Linked DNA regions of Elephas maximus indicus. The protein of the gene in region 1 purifies or fractionates together with the protein of each later gene. This does not show direct contact. Links are inferred from orthologs where the notes say so. Each region holds a gene or a part of one and is shown in the gene's direction. Other genes may lie near its edges.

Evidence for each region. Proteins that work in one complex are often made in the same cells at the same time.
Region 2: the proteins of SKP2 (region 1) and CDH1 purify together in Homo sapiens (affinity purification with western blotting; 3 studies listed by BioGRID and IntAct, with this or other methods). This does not show direct contact. The link is inferred for Elephas maximus indicus from reciprocal best matches to the Homo sapiens genes SKP2 and CDH1.

What each region holds. Positions count from the first base shown.
Region 1 is NC_064820.1:41,308,179-41,315,988, forward strand, and holds the start of SKP2 (S-phase kinase-associated protein 2), read left to right. Parts: upstream 1-4,806; 5' UTR 4,807-5,096; coding exon 5,097-5,104; intron 5,105-5,792; coding exon 5,793-6,064; intron 6,065-7,810. UniProt on the Homo sapiens protein: Substrate recognition component of a SCF (SKP1-CUL1-F-box protein) E3 ubiquitin-protein ligase complex which mediates the ubiquitination and subsequent proteasomal degradation of target proteins involved in cell cycle progression, signal transduction and transcription.
Region 2 is NC_064839.1:35,055,160-35,061,995, forward strand, and holds the start of CDH1 (cadherin-1), read left to right. Parts: upstream 1-3,819; 5' UTR 3,820-3,937; coding exon 3,938-3,985; intron 3,986-3,999; exon of another isoform or gene 4,000-4,780; coding exon 4,781-4,895; intron 4,896-6,836.

The sequences.
Region 1 (7,810 bases):
ACTAGTCGAACCGAATTCCAAAGTGTGACAAGTGTTTAGGAGAAGGACACACACAAACTGTTCTGTCTTTGGCAAGGCATGAAGGGAAGGGGTTGCAACCATGTACAGAGGTCAGAAGAAAGCAAGTAAAATTTTAATGAATTCTTAAAGATCTCAGGTAGATAATGCAAGACTTGTTTTGGTAATTAGAAAATAATCCTTACACTTTCTCTTAATAACAAAATAATTTTAAAAAAGAATAGCTAACATTTAGTGTGCACTTACTAAATATTGTGCTCCTACTTAACAAGCTTTATCATACTAAAGAGAAGACTGTTAGTATTCTTGTTTAATAAAGGAGAAAATTGGGCACAAACAGGATAAGGAATTTATCCAAGTTCCCACCAAAACCAAACCCAAACCCACTGCCGTCGAGTTGATTCCGACCCATAGTGACCCTATAGGACAGAGTAGAACTGCCCCACAGAGTTTCCAAGGAGCGCCTGGCAGATTTGAACTGCTGACCTCTTGGTTAGCAGCTGTAGCACTTAACCACTGCACCACCAGGGTTTCCCCAAGTTCCCACAAAAAAAAAAAAAAAAATTTTTTTTTTTTTTTTTTTAAAATGGCAAAGCTGGGATTCAAACTGAGGCATCCTAACTAGAGTCTGGCTCACAGTTAGAAAGCTACATCTTCTCTTCTCCAGTCCAGACATAGTTTCTTAATGCAATTTAAATTGTTTAAATAAATTTCTTCTGTTCAGTCTCCATAGTGAACAATCAGAAATTCCCCTATTGATCATCCCTATCAAGACATAGTTCACAGTATAAGAAGAAAATGTTCAATGTAGAACTTAGCTAAGCCTCTTTACCTCAGAGTAATACTGCCATTAGTTGACTTAAGGGTAATATGTGATTCTAATCTGTATGGGAAAAGTAGAAAAGAAAACATAGAGCAAATTAGAATCAGGGCCAGAACCTTTCCACCATCTGCCCATCACTGACAGCATTTAACTGCAGAGAACAAAAGATTTACTGTAGAATTAATCAAGGAAAAAAGATCCTTTCTCAAATTTTATTAGCAGATACAAACTTCTTGCCACATAATTGTTCTCAGGCTCTTGTTCCCGAGCTAAATGATGTGAGAAAAAAAACTCAAGAATTTTACAATTTATTTCATACTATGAAGGAACTAGGAGCCCTGGTGACGCAGTGGCTAAAGCACTTGGCTGCTAACCAAAGGGTCGGTGGCTCGAACCCACCAGCCGCTCTGCAGGAGAAAGATGGGGCAGTCTGCTTCTGTAAAGATTTACAGCCTTGGAAATCTTATGGGGCAGTTCTACTGTGTCTTATAGGATCTCTATCAGTTGGAATCGACTTGACAGCAGTGGGTTTGGTGGGTGTGAAGGAGCTAAGGAAAAAATTCATCACCATTCTCATTAAATAGAATCTCTTTTGTCATATTTGGTTTTCGAAAATAACATATACTTATATATGTACACACACACACCTATGACTATATTTATGACTATAAGCCACCACTCATCTGTCGGTTCGTAGCACTGTGGTGGCTTACGTGTTGCTGTGATGCTGGAAGCTATGCCAGTGGTATTTCAAATACCACCAGAGGGTTCTCAAAAAAGAGGAAGACCCTCAGTGAGATGTCTTGACAGAGGCTGCAAAAATAGGCTCAAGCAGAGCAACAATTGAGAAGATGTTGCAGGCCTGGGCAGTATTTCGTTCTGTTGTACATAGCATCACTATGAGTCAGAACCGACTCATGGCACCTAACAACAATGCTTATAAGATATATATACATATATATGTGTATACATACACACACATGTAATAAATAGCTTATAATCATTTATGATTTCCAGTCCTTTTTGGTCCCTCCTATAATTTTACCTCTAAACAGATAATACCACCCTTGCCCATTCTGAGCATCTCTCGGTGATAAACACTTCCCCAGTTTACACAGTCACTTTGGAGTCTATCTGAAGCTTCCAAAGGGTACTAGAAATGACGGGCCCTAAGTCATTTGCAGACGTTAAAAGAGACTGTAATTCATTTGTCCTGGATACTAACATAGGGAAGGGATTTTAGTTCTGGAAATATGGTGTACCCCAAAGTGGGAAATGGGATGTGCTAAGGTTAAACTAACAAAATTAATCAGGAAAATAAAATATTCCACATCAGTAGCAATCACAGTGCAATTAAGAGAACAAATAACAAGACGTCTGTACGTAGCCAGTAACTGCAAGTCTTCAATGGACACAATTCCTTATATCAAACAGTATCACATGTATCTATTTAAACTTTTATTTACAGCCATGAATGGAAGGAATGAGAAAAAAAGTTCCATATTAGCAAGCTGAAGTATTTCTCTTACCAGGGCAAACACTGTTAGTGAAATATCTACTCCAGTAGCAGAGGACTTGGACCTTCAGCTGAAGACTTGCAATTACTAGCTACCTACCAATTAATGGACCTTATGTCCATTAATTCAGATACTGCCAGTATTCTAAGAACTAGAAATGCTCCCTAAACAGCAGACAGAACAAGAATATTTCTTATCCTTAAATTTAGTATCTTCCCATCTACTAGACCTTCTTATCTATGAGATTTGTATCTAAAGTGGCCTATTCCAATTACTTTATATCTCAAAACTTTGTTACGCTTGCTATGGATTGTGTCCCCCCAAAATACGTGGTGGAATCCTAACCCCTGTACCTGTAGATGTAATGTAATGTACTGCAATCACCTTTGTATGCAATCTAATGTTATGTTACTGAGCCATACCCATTACCAGAGTTATAAAAAATGGTAGATAAAGACATGCAAAAACAAACGGGAAGAGAGGTGCCATGTGAAGATTGTCAAGGGACCAAGGAACAGGTAGGGCTACAGAAACTGAAAAAGACAAGGATCTTCCCCTACAGCTGACAAAGAGAGAGCCTTCCGTTATAGCTGGTGCCTGAATTCAGATTTCTAGACTCCTAAATTGTGAGAAAATAAATTTCTGTTCTTTAAAGCCATGCACTTGCGGTTCTTCTGTTACAGCAGCCCTAGTAACTAAGACAGTGCTCACCACGGCATTTTAAATATTTTTTTATCCTTTCTCCCCACAAGGTTACCAGTTCCCTCTGTCTTGTTCACTTTCCTGGAGACTATAACTTTTTTTGTTAGAAATATTTTCTGTAATGAGTTGCAAGCTTAAGGGAAAGTATGTATATCTCAAATGAAGGCAACTGCTTTCTCCTTAGCCAAAGTAAAGATAGGTAACTACCGTGCAAAAAACCAGGAATACTGCATTTAAAAAAATTATCATCTAACAGTAGTTTAATGAACTGTGCACACTAAGCCTAGTATTCTTCACCTAGTGTTGATCAAAATCAATTTGTGAACAGATCCCCTCTTAATAGAAATCTCACCTACTTTCGAGAACAAAATAAAGGTTCATGAATTCCTTCCTGTCAAGAAGTGGTTACTTTTCAAGAATCTAATCATTTTTTTCAAAGTAGTATGAAGGTATGTCATACAGCATAAAACCACTGTCATCGAGTGGATTCTGACTCTTCAAAGCTATAGGTCAGAGTAAAACTGCCCCATAGGGCTTCCAAGGCTGTAATCTTTATGGGAACAGACAGCCACTCTTTCTCCCCACTGAACTAATTCTTTGGGGATGAAACTGCCCTGCATAATTCTAAACTTTATAAAAAAACTTTATAAACCCTCATTATTTTTATTACGGTTGGAATTCATCCCTCTTCTCTCTTCCACTGTTTTCCCGGGGCCATCGTTGTAGTAGTTTGCAATGCACAATGGATTTCGCACGGTCATCCTACCTGGAATATGGTACACTCCCTACTCTAACGCCCCCAAACTGTTTCCCGCAGAGATAGGCTAAAGCAGTTCTAGGTGGCGACGCAAATGGATGCAGCCGGTTGGCCGAGAGCAACCGAATGGCTTTGCTGGTGGCTCAGAGCTTAGCCCTGGTAAAGCCCTTTGCAGATACACAACCCACCCAGTGCCGTCGAGTACAGTAACCATATTTATTCCCATACTAGCATTTAGGAGATTTGTCAAGGCTGCAAGGGGATGCGCACCCTTCCCACCGCACACAGGAACCAAGGTGGTCTCTTGTTCCCCTAAAATTCAACCATCCTCTCTCATTCCAACTGCGCTGTAGTTTAGAAAACGCTTCCACAACCGTTATCTGATTCGATCCTCATTCAACGCCTGTAACAAGAGCGTTGTTGTCGTAGTGCCTATTTCACAGGTAAGGAAAGGATCCTGCCCACAGACCCAGTCTAATTCTGAAATCATTTCCTGAAGGGCCCAAGGGCCGCCTCTCCCCGGTGCAGGAAGAGCTTCCTGGCAGAGGGCAGAGCAGGTGTGACGCCCACCTGGGTGACGGGCCGGGCTACTGGCTCCATGCAGTGGCCGGGGACGCAGGCCCCGCGGCGGCAGCCGTTCGGGATCTCCGGGGTTCCCTCCGTGTCCTCCTCTGCTCCGCCCCGGACCTCAGACCCCAGACCCCAAAGTGTCTCATCCCCTCCCTCAAGCTCACCGTCTGATCTCACCAGACAGAATCTGGACGGGACCAAGAAACTCCGCGTCGACCACAGCCGTCCAGGTTCTGGGACCCCCGCTCTGAAATGACGGCGGAAGCAGTCAGCAGAAGGCCTGCAGGTTCCCGGGAAAGGAAAACCCTTTCTCACTCAAGCAGCTGACATTCCCAGTCAGCCGGAGCACCGCCCACTTCCGCTTCCCTGCCCGCCCCTGTGGGCCGCGGGGGGTTGTGGGTATCTCAAAGGCCTGCGAAGCTTCAAGGGAAGGATTCAGGAAGTAGAGGGCGAGCCAGCCTGACTCCTGGACAGCATAGGAACTACAATTCCCAGCAGGCAGCTGGGCCTCAGACCTCTGCCGCAGAGGAGAGCGGGCAGAAGAGCCCTGTGCGCGCGGCGGGGATGGAACGTTACTAGAGTTCGCGGGTCTCACTGTTGGGGGCCAGCGCTGAGCGCTCGGAGCTGCCGCGCGCCAAAGCCGGAATCCCGAAGCAGCAGCTCCGCAATTAATGCACGTATTTAAAACTCCTGTGAATCGGTGGACGCCATGCACAGGTAAACCGATTGCAAAAAGGGGCAGAGCGTGCATGGACCGTCTTAATTCTTTTAGGCCGTGAATACTGCTACTTGCTGTTGTTGTTACTAATGCTGTGATTATGCGAATGGTTGCTTAGCCCATTCTTTGGGAAAGTGTGGATAAATGTTTTAGTGAGGTGATTAGCGAGACGTTTTATTTGGCTTCCCTTATAGGGCTTTCCTGCAGGGTTTTCAAAATCACTGGATGGCTGCCCTCCCTCCCTCCTTGTTCCCTCCACCGTAAGAAATTCTTGAGGCCTGCCTGCGTGATCGTAAATCAAAAGCCTTTCCCATTTGTTCGGTTATTTTTTTTTCTTGGGATTTCGCCACTGGCACTTACAAATGCAATTTTATTAACTGCTGCGGAAGTTTCAAGTTTTCTACAGCGCATAAACTGCAGCTTCTTTTGTGCCTACCTTGGAGCCCTCGTGGCTCAAATGGTTAAGCGCTCGGCTGCTAACCAAAAGGTCTGCATTTCGAACCCACCAGCCGCTTCGAAAGAGAAAGATGTGGAAGTCTGCTTCCCTGAAGATTACAGCCTTGGAAACTCAGTGGGGCAGTTCTACTCTGCCCTATAGGGTGACTATGAATCGAAAGGCTGGACGGGGGATGGGTTTGGTTTTGGCTTTATTCTTGAAAAGAAAGGGAGTGTTGTGCATTTCTGCAGGAAACACCTCCAGGAGATTCCGGACCAAAGTAGCAACGTTACCACCAGTTTCACGTGGGGATGGGATTCTAGCAAGACTTCAGAACTGCTCTCAGGCATGGGAGTCTCTGCCCTGGAGAAGGAGGAGGTGGACAGTGAAAATATCCCCCAGGAACTGCTCTCCAGCCTTAGTCACCCGCAGAGCCCCCCGCGAAAGCGGCTGAAAAGCAAGGGGAATGACAAGGACTTTGTGATTGTTCGCAGACCCAAGCTAAATCGAGAGAACTTTCCAGGTAAGGTATGCAGGTAAAACTGGCAGTCACATAAGGGGGTGGATGGTTTGCACTGTTTTGTCCATCAGCCTTTGTTCAGGGATCTTTAGGATGGTTTCCTATGTTAAGTTGCCTAATTCTTAAATTGGATTGAAACAGTGGCTGCAACAATGGGTTCAAACACAGCAACTATTTTGAGGCTGGCTCAGGAGCCAGCAGTGTTTCATTCTGTTGTACATAGGGTCACTATGAGTCAGAACTAACTCTACAGCACCTAACAACAGCTCTGAAGTTATTTTTTGAAGGAATAGAGGAAGTAATTGTCTTTGAAGTCTATAGGAATCTTTCTGGGTATCTGGTGTATAATTGACTTGAAAATCTTAACCCGAGACAATACCTTTCTGCTCTTTTCTGTAGAAGGGAATCTGCCTGAAGAAAGGCATGAAGTAGCCAGCCAGCTTAGTTTCACAGATAAATGGCAGCATAAACAGTAGTCTTCTTCCAGGATTCCTTTTTCTTAAAGCCCTGGGTGAGCTTTTTGCACTAATCACTTTAGGTATTTTGTCAATAAGTTGCTAAAGTATTTGTGTATTAAACTAAGTGGAAGAGACTTATCTCTCAGGCCTACTTCCAGATGGGCTTCTCCTGGTAGCTTCTGTCTCAGTTGCTGCCTGCTCAATCACCCAAACCAAAAACCTAAGGGTCAGCATAGATTCCTACCATCCCCCAATATCCAATCAATCGTTACATCTTCCATTCTTGTCTCCTAAGTATTTCTCAAATTCTCATCATCTCTTGCCTATTGGAATACATGCATAACTCCAGCTTATCCTCCCCAGATCCATCCCCTGAAGCCAGAGTGACTTAACTGAAATTATTTATTTATTTTTCCAAATTTAATGTCACTGGTATTTTTAGTGTCTGAAATGGAGCACTAGCCATTTGGTGCTTGACCAACCAAATGTGAAAGACACTTCCTTTTAAGATGAACAGATTTTGGCTGAATTGCCAAGAACTGATAGCTCTTGACGTAGTGTTATTGGTGCCTGTCCTTCCGCATTCCTACACAGACAGGCATAAATAAAAATGACATTTCTTAAGCAAGGCTCTGTGGGAAACAAGTCAGAAGTTTAAGAGGTGATTGCTGTCTTCTGGGAATTTGCAAGTCAAGTTGAGGAGAAAAGACGATAAGAAATAACAAGTTTACAGTAATACATGGTGGATAATACACTAGCAGCAGACAAGTAGCGTAGGTAGTGAGCACTGTAGGAGGCCAGAGGGAGGAGCTTATTTGTGCCAAAGTGACTTGAAGCTTCCCAGAGGCAGAAGGGCTTCAATGGTAATGCCCATTCAGGTGGATGATCCTCCTTCTTCCTCGCAGCAAGAGTGGTTTGTTGAAGTGTCCTCAATAAATCATATCTTTTTAGTATAGGTAACGCGTCTTACTGGGCATATTTATTTCTCACATCACTTCACTTAGAAAACAGAGATTATTTTATCTCTGTCTGTGTGTGAATGTGGAAGGAGAGACACCAGTCATACTCCATGTCGAGAGTCATTGGTACTGGCCAAGTTCATCAAAATCACTACTCTTGGAAGGGAGAGAAAGATCTGGAAATGGTCCAGTAAATGAGGCTAAATTGTTAAACCTGACTTTAAAAACATGTCTGAGGTGAGAGAGAAAAAAAATGAACCTTTATGTTTGTTACTACTTGAGAGAGACCAAGAGAGACACTAATAACACATGTTTGTGCATGTATGGAATTA
Region 2 (6,836 bases), on another chromosome or scaffold:
CCAGCATTATAACAGCAGGCTGTAGCAAGGGTGTCTAGTTCCCTTCTGCGTGCTGGTGGTTAGCCTGGCAAGACTGGGAGGGGTGTCAGAAGCCCCCAGGAACAGCTAAGAATGGAGCCTGCTCTCCCAACTCTGTTGCGAAGGCTGGCCTGGCTGTAATCCCTAGCAGTTCAAATTTCCCTGGGGATTCATCCCCAGCCAGCTGGGGGCTGGGCTCCTCTCAGCAGAGGCCAAGGGAGGTCGCCCCTCCCAGTCTGAGCACCATTATTACTACCTGGTAGGCCAGGCCACACGGAGATGAAAGGGACAGGCTTGCCTTGGGAACTAATCACTAGCCTCTCTGCAGGGCCCGGACACCCAGGAAATGAAAATCCGCCAGAGACACACACTGCAGTGAGGAAGGCTGGGGTTTATCACCTACCTGGAGAGATCTCAAGGGAACAGTGGAGGCCTCTAGTCAACATTCCTTTTTTCTGTCAAAGCCTGTAATTCCACATTAGCACTCAGAGATTCCAAGCTTTAGATTTGGATTTGTTCTCCCCCAGCCGTGAGGCTAATGAAAGTTATGGGTCTTGCTACCTGCACCTACAGGTTTGCACACAATCTCCAGTTATTCACAGACCCCCCTAGAAACCCATTCAAGACACCAGATTAACAGAGTTTAGTAGAGCCAAAAGCTTTCATTCATTTGAAAGAAGCAAGGTCATTCTTTAGAACCTTCTTTAAAATGCAAATGACCCTGGGAGGGTCAAAATGACCAGCCATCCAGCCTAAAAAGAATTTCCCCCAGCAGATACAAAAGATAGCCTAAGAGGTTTTAATGGCTGGGGTGGAGGAGGTATGGGTGGGTGGGTGTAGAAGAGCCTAGGTGTGGGGAACTCTCAAGGGGCCTCACAATTTTCCCTAGAATCTAGAAGGAAATGTATTGGGCAAAGATGCTAATAGCTAACTTTTACAGAGTGCTTATAATAACCTTGTGAATTATGCTCCAACAACATTCCCGTTTTAGGGATGAGGAAGCCTAGACTTTGAAAGATAAAATGGCTTATCCAATCTAGCTAGTGGCAAAGCCAGAACTTGAATCTTCCCTACAAAAGTTGGAAACCCTGGTGGTTAAGAGCCACAGCTGCTAACCAAAAGGTCAGCAGTTTGGATTCACCAGGCACTCCTGGGGAACCGTGTGGGGCAGTTCTACTCTGTCCTATAGGGTCGCTATGAGTTGGAATCTACTTCACGGCAGTGGGTTTGGGTTTTTGGTTTGGTACAAATTTTGGCAGTTGGAACCCACCCCACGGCACAGCGGAAGATTACAGCCAAGAAAACTATGGAGCTCAGTTCTACTCTGTAACACACAGGGTGGTCACGAGCCTGAATTGGCAACAGGCTTGGTTTTCTGGTCTGGCCAACCTGAGACCCAAGGCTACTCACATCATAACTCGTTGGCTCACCTACCCTGGCTCATTTGATCTTAACATGGAGTTAATTAATATGCTTCTTTGATACAAGGGGAAGCTGAGGCAATTCACTGTGTTGCCAAAAGTCACAAATCACCCCACCTCCACAGGGAACCGCTTTGTGTTCCCTCCTTACCCTGGACAGCTGAAGGGGACCGCCCATCGGGACTCACTCCCTGGAGCTTCAAAGACCTGCCGAGAAGTCTGAAGTGTGCATCATCCCAACCTGTCCTCGCTGCTCTTAATTGTTTTCTAAAATCTTTTTTATTGAATTATCAGAGTGTAATGGAAGAGTCAATGAGAGTCACTTCAGAATTATAAGGCCAGGGCTTGCGGGGAAGAAGAAAGCAAAGCCCTAAAGGCTCCCTGGGCTGAGCGATGGTATAAAATATATATTTTTACATAACTGGGAGAAGAAAAAAAAAAAAAACCACAAAGTGGCAAGGCTGCCCCATGGGGGAAACGCCTGTTTCTGTATTTCCATTATCTTGTTTAATGCACAGTCCAGCAGGAGCCTCAGTGGGAAAGGAAACACCGAAGGCTTCTCCTCCAAGCCTCCTGGCAGGTAAAAAGGCAGAGAGCCAAGATGTAGATATCCAAATGGCCTGGGTGTGTGCTCAGAAACCCATTAAAACAGAGGGGACCAAGGGTGGCCTGGGCAGACTGGAAATGGTGCCACTCCTCTGGAGTTCTCGGAGAACTACCCTCAATAGGTTTAGATTCACCTTTCGCTCTGGGTGAAATACAGTATTCCAAATGTGGCCTTCCCAGTGAGGAAGGGAAAGAGGGGAGTGACCCTTGCTAGAGAACAACCTCCACATCAAACATTTATTGAGCAGTTACTATTATGTGCCAAGTACTCTGCTTAGAGATTTTCTTATATTAACTCATTTCAATCCATTTATACAAATAAGAAGGGAGCCCTGGTGGCGCAGTGGCTATGGGCTCGGTGGCTAACTGAAAGGTGGGCAGTTCAAACCCACAAGTGGCTACGAAGGAGAAAGATCTGGCAGTTTGCTTCCGTAAAGATGACAGCCTTGGAAACCCTATAAGGCAGTTCTACCCTGTCCTGTAGGGTTTGTTATGAGTTAGAATCAACTTGATGGCCAAAGGTTTGGATATATAGATGAGAACACTGCCTGGGCCAAGGTCACACAGCCAGTGAGCAGTTGGTGGGATGGGGGAGCCAAACTGCACAGACATGGCTGGCCATAGGAAAGGGAAGGTGTCTGACCTAATGTTTGCCTGGCTATTCTTTTCTTGATCTTAAAATCATTTTACTGGGGACAGATGCTTCAGAGAAGGCTGTGGTGGTGGGTTTGGTGTGGCTTTAAGAACCCCAGTTGGGGATCAGGAGATCTTGGGTTCTAGTCTCAGCTTTGACATTGACTTGCCGTGTGATGTTGAGCAAGTTGCTTGCAAATAACAGGTTTGGGTGAACTCTAAAAGGTCTTTTCCATGTCAAAATTAAAGGACAGATTGAAACCTGCAGCTCCAGCTGGAAGACTTGGGGGGTGGGAGAGGGTGGGAAGCCACACGAGGTGAAGCATAATAGTTAAAAGCAAGGGCCCTGGAATCAGAGGGAGGTAGGTGCCAGTTCTCTGCCACTGCCTATTGGCCTCAATCTCTTTAAGCCTCGTTTGCCCCATCTATCAAATGGGAACAATGATACAGCACTTGGTTTGTATTGAGATGAGATTAAGTGAATGGTCAATTCAAATGCTCAGCACAGAGCCTGGGACAGTAACATTCAGTGCCCAGCACCTAGTGCTAGTATTATTACCCCTCACACCTGTACAGAGCTTTTATGGTGCAGGAAACATTGGCCTTATTAATTGTATGGGAACCCCACAACAACACAGTCAGGTGTTTGTACTTATTATTTCCATTTGGATGGTGTAGAAGGTGAGGCTTCAGGTGAGAGGTGGTCCTGACCCTGTGAATCAATCCGATGACTCACTAATCGATGGAGATCTGCAGTTAAAAAGACATAACTAGGTCATTTTACTGTGGACAGAATTCTCCAGATAGTGGTTGGTGGTGGCTGTGGTGTGCCTTTAAGAACCCAAGGGGTCCTTTCTGACCCCTGTCTTAGCCCTGGTAGGGCTAGGATTTGAACCCAGTGAGAATCGGAATCATGCAGCCCCAACGCTCCACCTAGGCCCTACAAACCTCTCCTCAGCTTATCACCGGGTCGTTTCGGGGCCGCAGGGCGGGGCCGTGGGCGAGCCGCCCGCCCCCCGCCCTGCGGAGGAAGCTGCGGGCCGAGCCACGCCGCCTATAGGCTGCGGCCAGGGCAGGTGCATCCTCAGCCAATCAGTGGCGCTGGGGGCGGCACCCTCGGGACTCACCTGGTGGCCGCAGCGCTGCTCTGCTCAGTGGCGTCCGGAGTCCAAGAGCACCTGTGAGTTCACGGAAGTCTTGCCAGGCTCTAGCCCGGCCCAACCAGACCCCCGCCTCCCTCAGCCCCGGTCCGGGCCGCCATGGGCCCTCGGTGCTGCAGCCTCTTCGCACTCCTGCTGCTGCTACAGGTACGTCGGCTCACCTGACTTCAGAGAAAGCATTCTGGCCCCACGCTCCGCGCCTCGGCTCTGCGTCCCCTCTTCTCTCGCACTGTCCCCGCTCCTCCTTCAGAGAAAGTTTGGGTCCGAAGGGCGAGAACGGCCTGGAAGCTGCGGCGCGCTCCCCTGAGTGGGAGGGGTAAAGCGGCGCGCGGCTGAGCCCGCCCCCGGCCGCAAATACCCGAGTGGGGGGCGCACCTCGCCGTAGGCTCGGGGGGCTCTGTGTTGGTCGAGGTGTGGACTTGGACCGGGCAGTGGGGACGTGGAGTCAGTCGGGAAAGGGAAGCCCCGTTGTCAGTACAGGAGAAGCCAGTAGTGGGAACGAAGTGAGGAAAAGGGCTTCCATAGAAATCAAGACACCTCCCATGTAAGTAGAAATGGGGGCGTCCCCGGGATAGGGAAAGTGAGGTCCGAAGGGGTTGGGCAGCCCCTCTGTGAGGAATTAGATTAAGGCGGGGGCGTTTCGGTATGAGAAAACGGAATCGTGAACTGTAAAGACACTACCAGTGAAATGAAAAAGAAGACAGAAAGGAAAGGGGGGCTTAGTCATGAGGAGGTGACCCAGAAGCTCCCTCCCGCGAAGTTCCTTGGGGGGCTTGGCGGCTGCGGGTTTCGAGGTGGCAGAGGGTGACGCCGCTGTCTTCTGGGGTAGTGGGGCGTTCCTCCCTCAGTCCCGATGCCGCAAGCGAGGGAGGATTTCAGTGTGAGCAGGAGGCAACCCTCCCCCCCAAGTCACCCCGGTTACATACCTTTCCCTCACTGCAGGTTTCGGCGTGGCTCTGTGAGGAGCCGGAGCCCTGCCGTCCTGGCTTTGGGGCGGAGAGCTACGTGTTCACGGTTACCCGGCGGCACTTGGAGAGAGGTCACGTCCTGGGCAGAGGTGAGGGCACGCCGCCCGTGGGGGGACGGAGAAATTGCATACCTACGCCTTGGCTCTCCTGGGCGAACCCCCCTCTTGGCTCAAAAGATATCCTTTTGAATGTGCACAGATTTAAGGATTTAAACTTTTACTAAGTGTTTGAAGGACGACGCCCTGTCTGTTTACCTATGTTGTAAAAGGGGGAAGGCACTAATAAGAGCCTTCAGTGTGTCTTAAGTCCTGGGCACTTTAGAGAAAGGTGGGCAATATTCCCGTTTTACAGATGAACAAACCGAAGCTCGGGGGGGAGGGTGCAGTTCACTTGCCCAGGGTCAGGGGAACAGATACTGGAACTAGGATCTGATTCCCACGCATAGTTCTGCAACCATCTCTGTGGTGACTGTGGAACCTTTTTGGTTGCCAGGGCTGTGGCTTTTGCTCTGGGGATGAGAACATTTTGATACAGGTGCTATTCCCCTATGAAATAATGGTATTTAAAAAAAGTTTGTTAGCTCTGACTCAGGGGATGAAAATGCATACAAACGCCCAGTGTACTTCTAGGCTTTATCATTGTGATCACCTGGATTCTGGAGTTTGTTTCACTTCACTGTTGCCCAGGGGCAGGATAGAGGGAAGGGGTTGGTTTCTCCTCTGATTTCCCTGTTTCTGTTGCTTGCTTATCATCAGTGGACTTTCTCCTCCCTCATGATATTGGTTGATTGGGCGAATATCATAACAATGAAGGAAGCACTTTTTAAAAAGAGAAATCACCCACAGTTCCCCTGAGGCATCACTGAGTTTATTCCTCCAGTCTTTGGCCACGTGAAGAACCTGCAGCAATCACACTGCTGTCTTAAAGATTTTTTTTTGAACTTTGGAAGTTGTTCTAACAGTGGGCAGCCTTTTCCCCAGAGAAACTGCCGTTTGATTGATTAAACATATTTGCTTTTCGGAGGCCTTTCTCTGTTGTTTAGAGCTTCCTGTTGGGTCAGAAAGGACACATCTGCCTGATGTTGCAGACGGTCGGCCGTTACTCAGGCAGTCTCTATTTAATGTTTTGTCCAGCCTTGGGCTGGGCACCAGGGAACACGTTAAGAGATGTGGGGACAGGATGCTCCAACCCTGTCCTCAGTATTTCACATTCTAGCTGATTGTTGAGAATGTCTCAGGGCCCCTTTACCAGAGGGCACCATGGTGCCTGGGCAATGAGGTGCGAAAGGGCGAAGATATTTTGGTGGACAGTGAAGACTGACTTTTGGGAGGAATAAAGCCTGACCTGGCCTTAAGAGTCAGGTAGGGCTTAGAAAAGGCAGTGAGTATGTTACGTGTGTATATATGAGGTGTGTCAACACAGGTGCTGGCCAGTTTGCTTTCATGCACCAGGACAGTTGAGTATATTTGGTTAGTCCCAAGCGTGTGTTATCAAAAACCAAACCTGACTCATAGCAACCCTATATAAGAGAGTAAAACTGCCCCCTAGGGTTTCCAAGGCTGTAATCTAGGAGCAGCTGATGGGGTTGAACCATTGACCTTTCAGTTAACAGCCAAGAGCTTAACCACTGCACCACCAGGGCTCCAAGGGTGGGTTAGTCTGATTTTTATTTTCCCCTTCTAAGCACATGGCATCTGACCAGTAATATTATGTATCCCTAACAACATAATTATTATAATTAATAGCAGTCTCTTTATTACTCGCTTTTGAACCAGATTCTGGAGTAAGTGCTTCACATATTGTATCTTATTTAAATTCACAACAATTTATGAGGGTAGGCACAATGATTATTTCTTTTTTGTGGTAACTGAAGCACAGACAGGTTCAGTTATCTGCTCAAGGATCCAAACTGGTCTTTTTCCTCCTCTTCCCCTCTTCTTTCTCTTCAATATTCAAAAAAAAAAAAAAAAAGATGATGATGTTTGGGGAATTTGTGGCTTTTGTGAAGTAGACTACATTCTCCCTGTGGG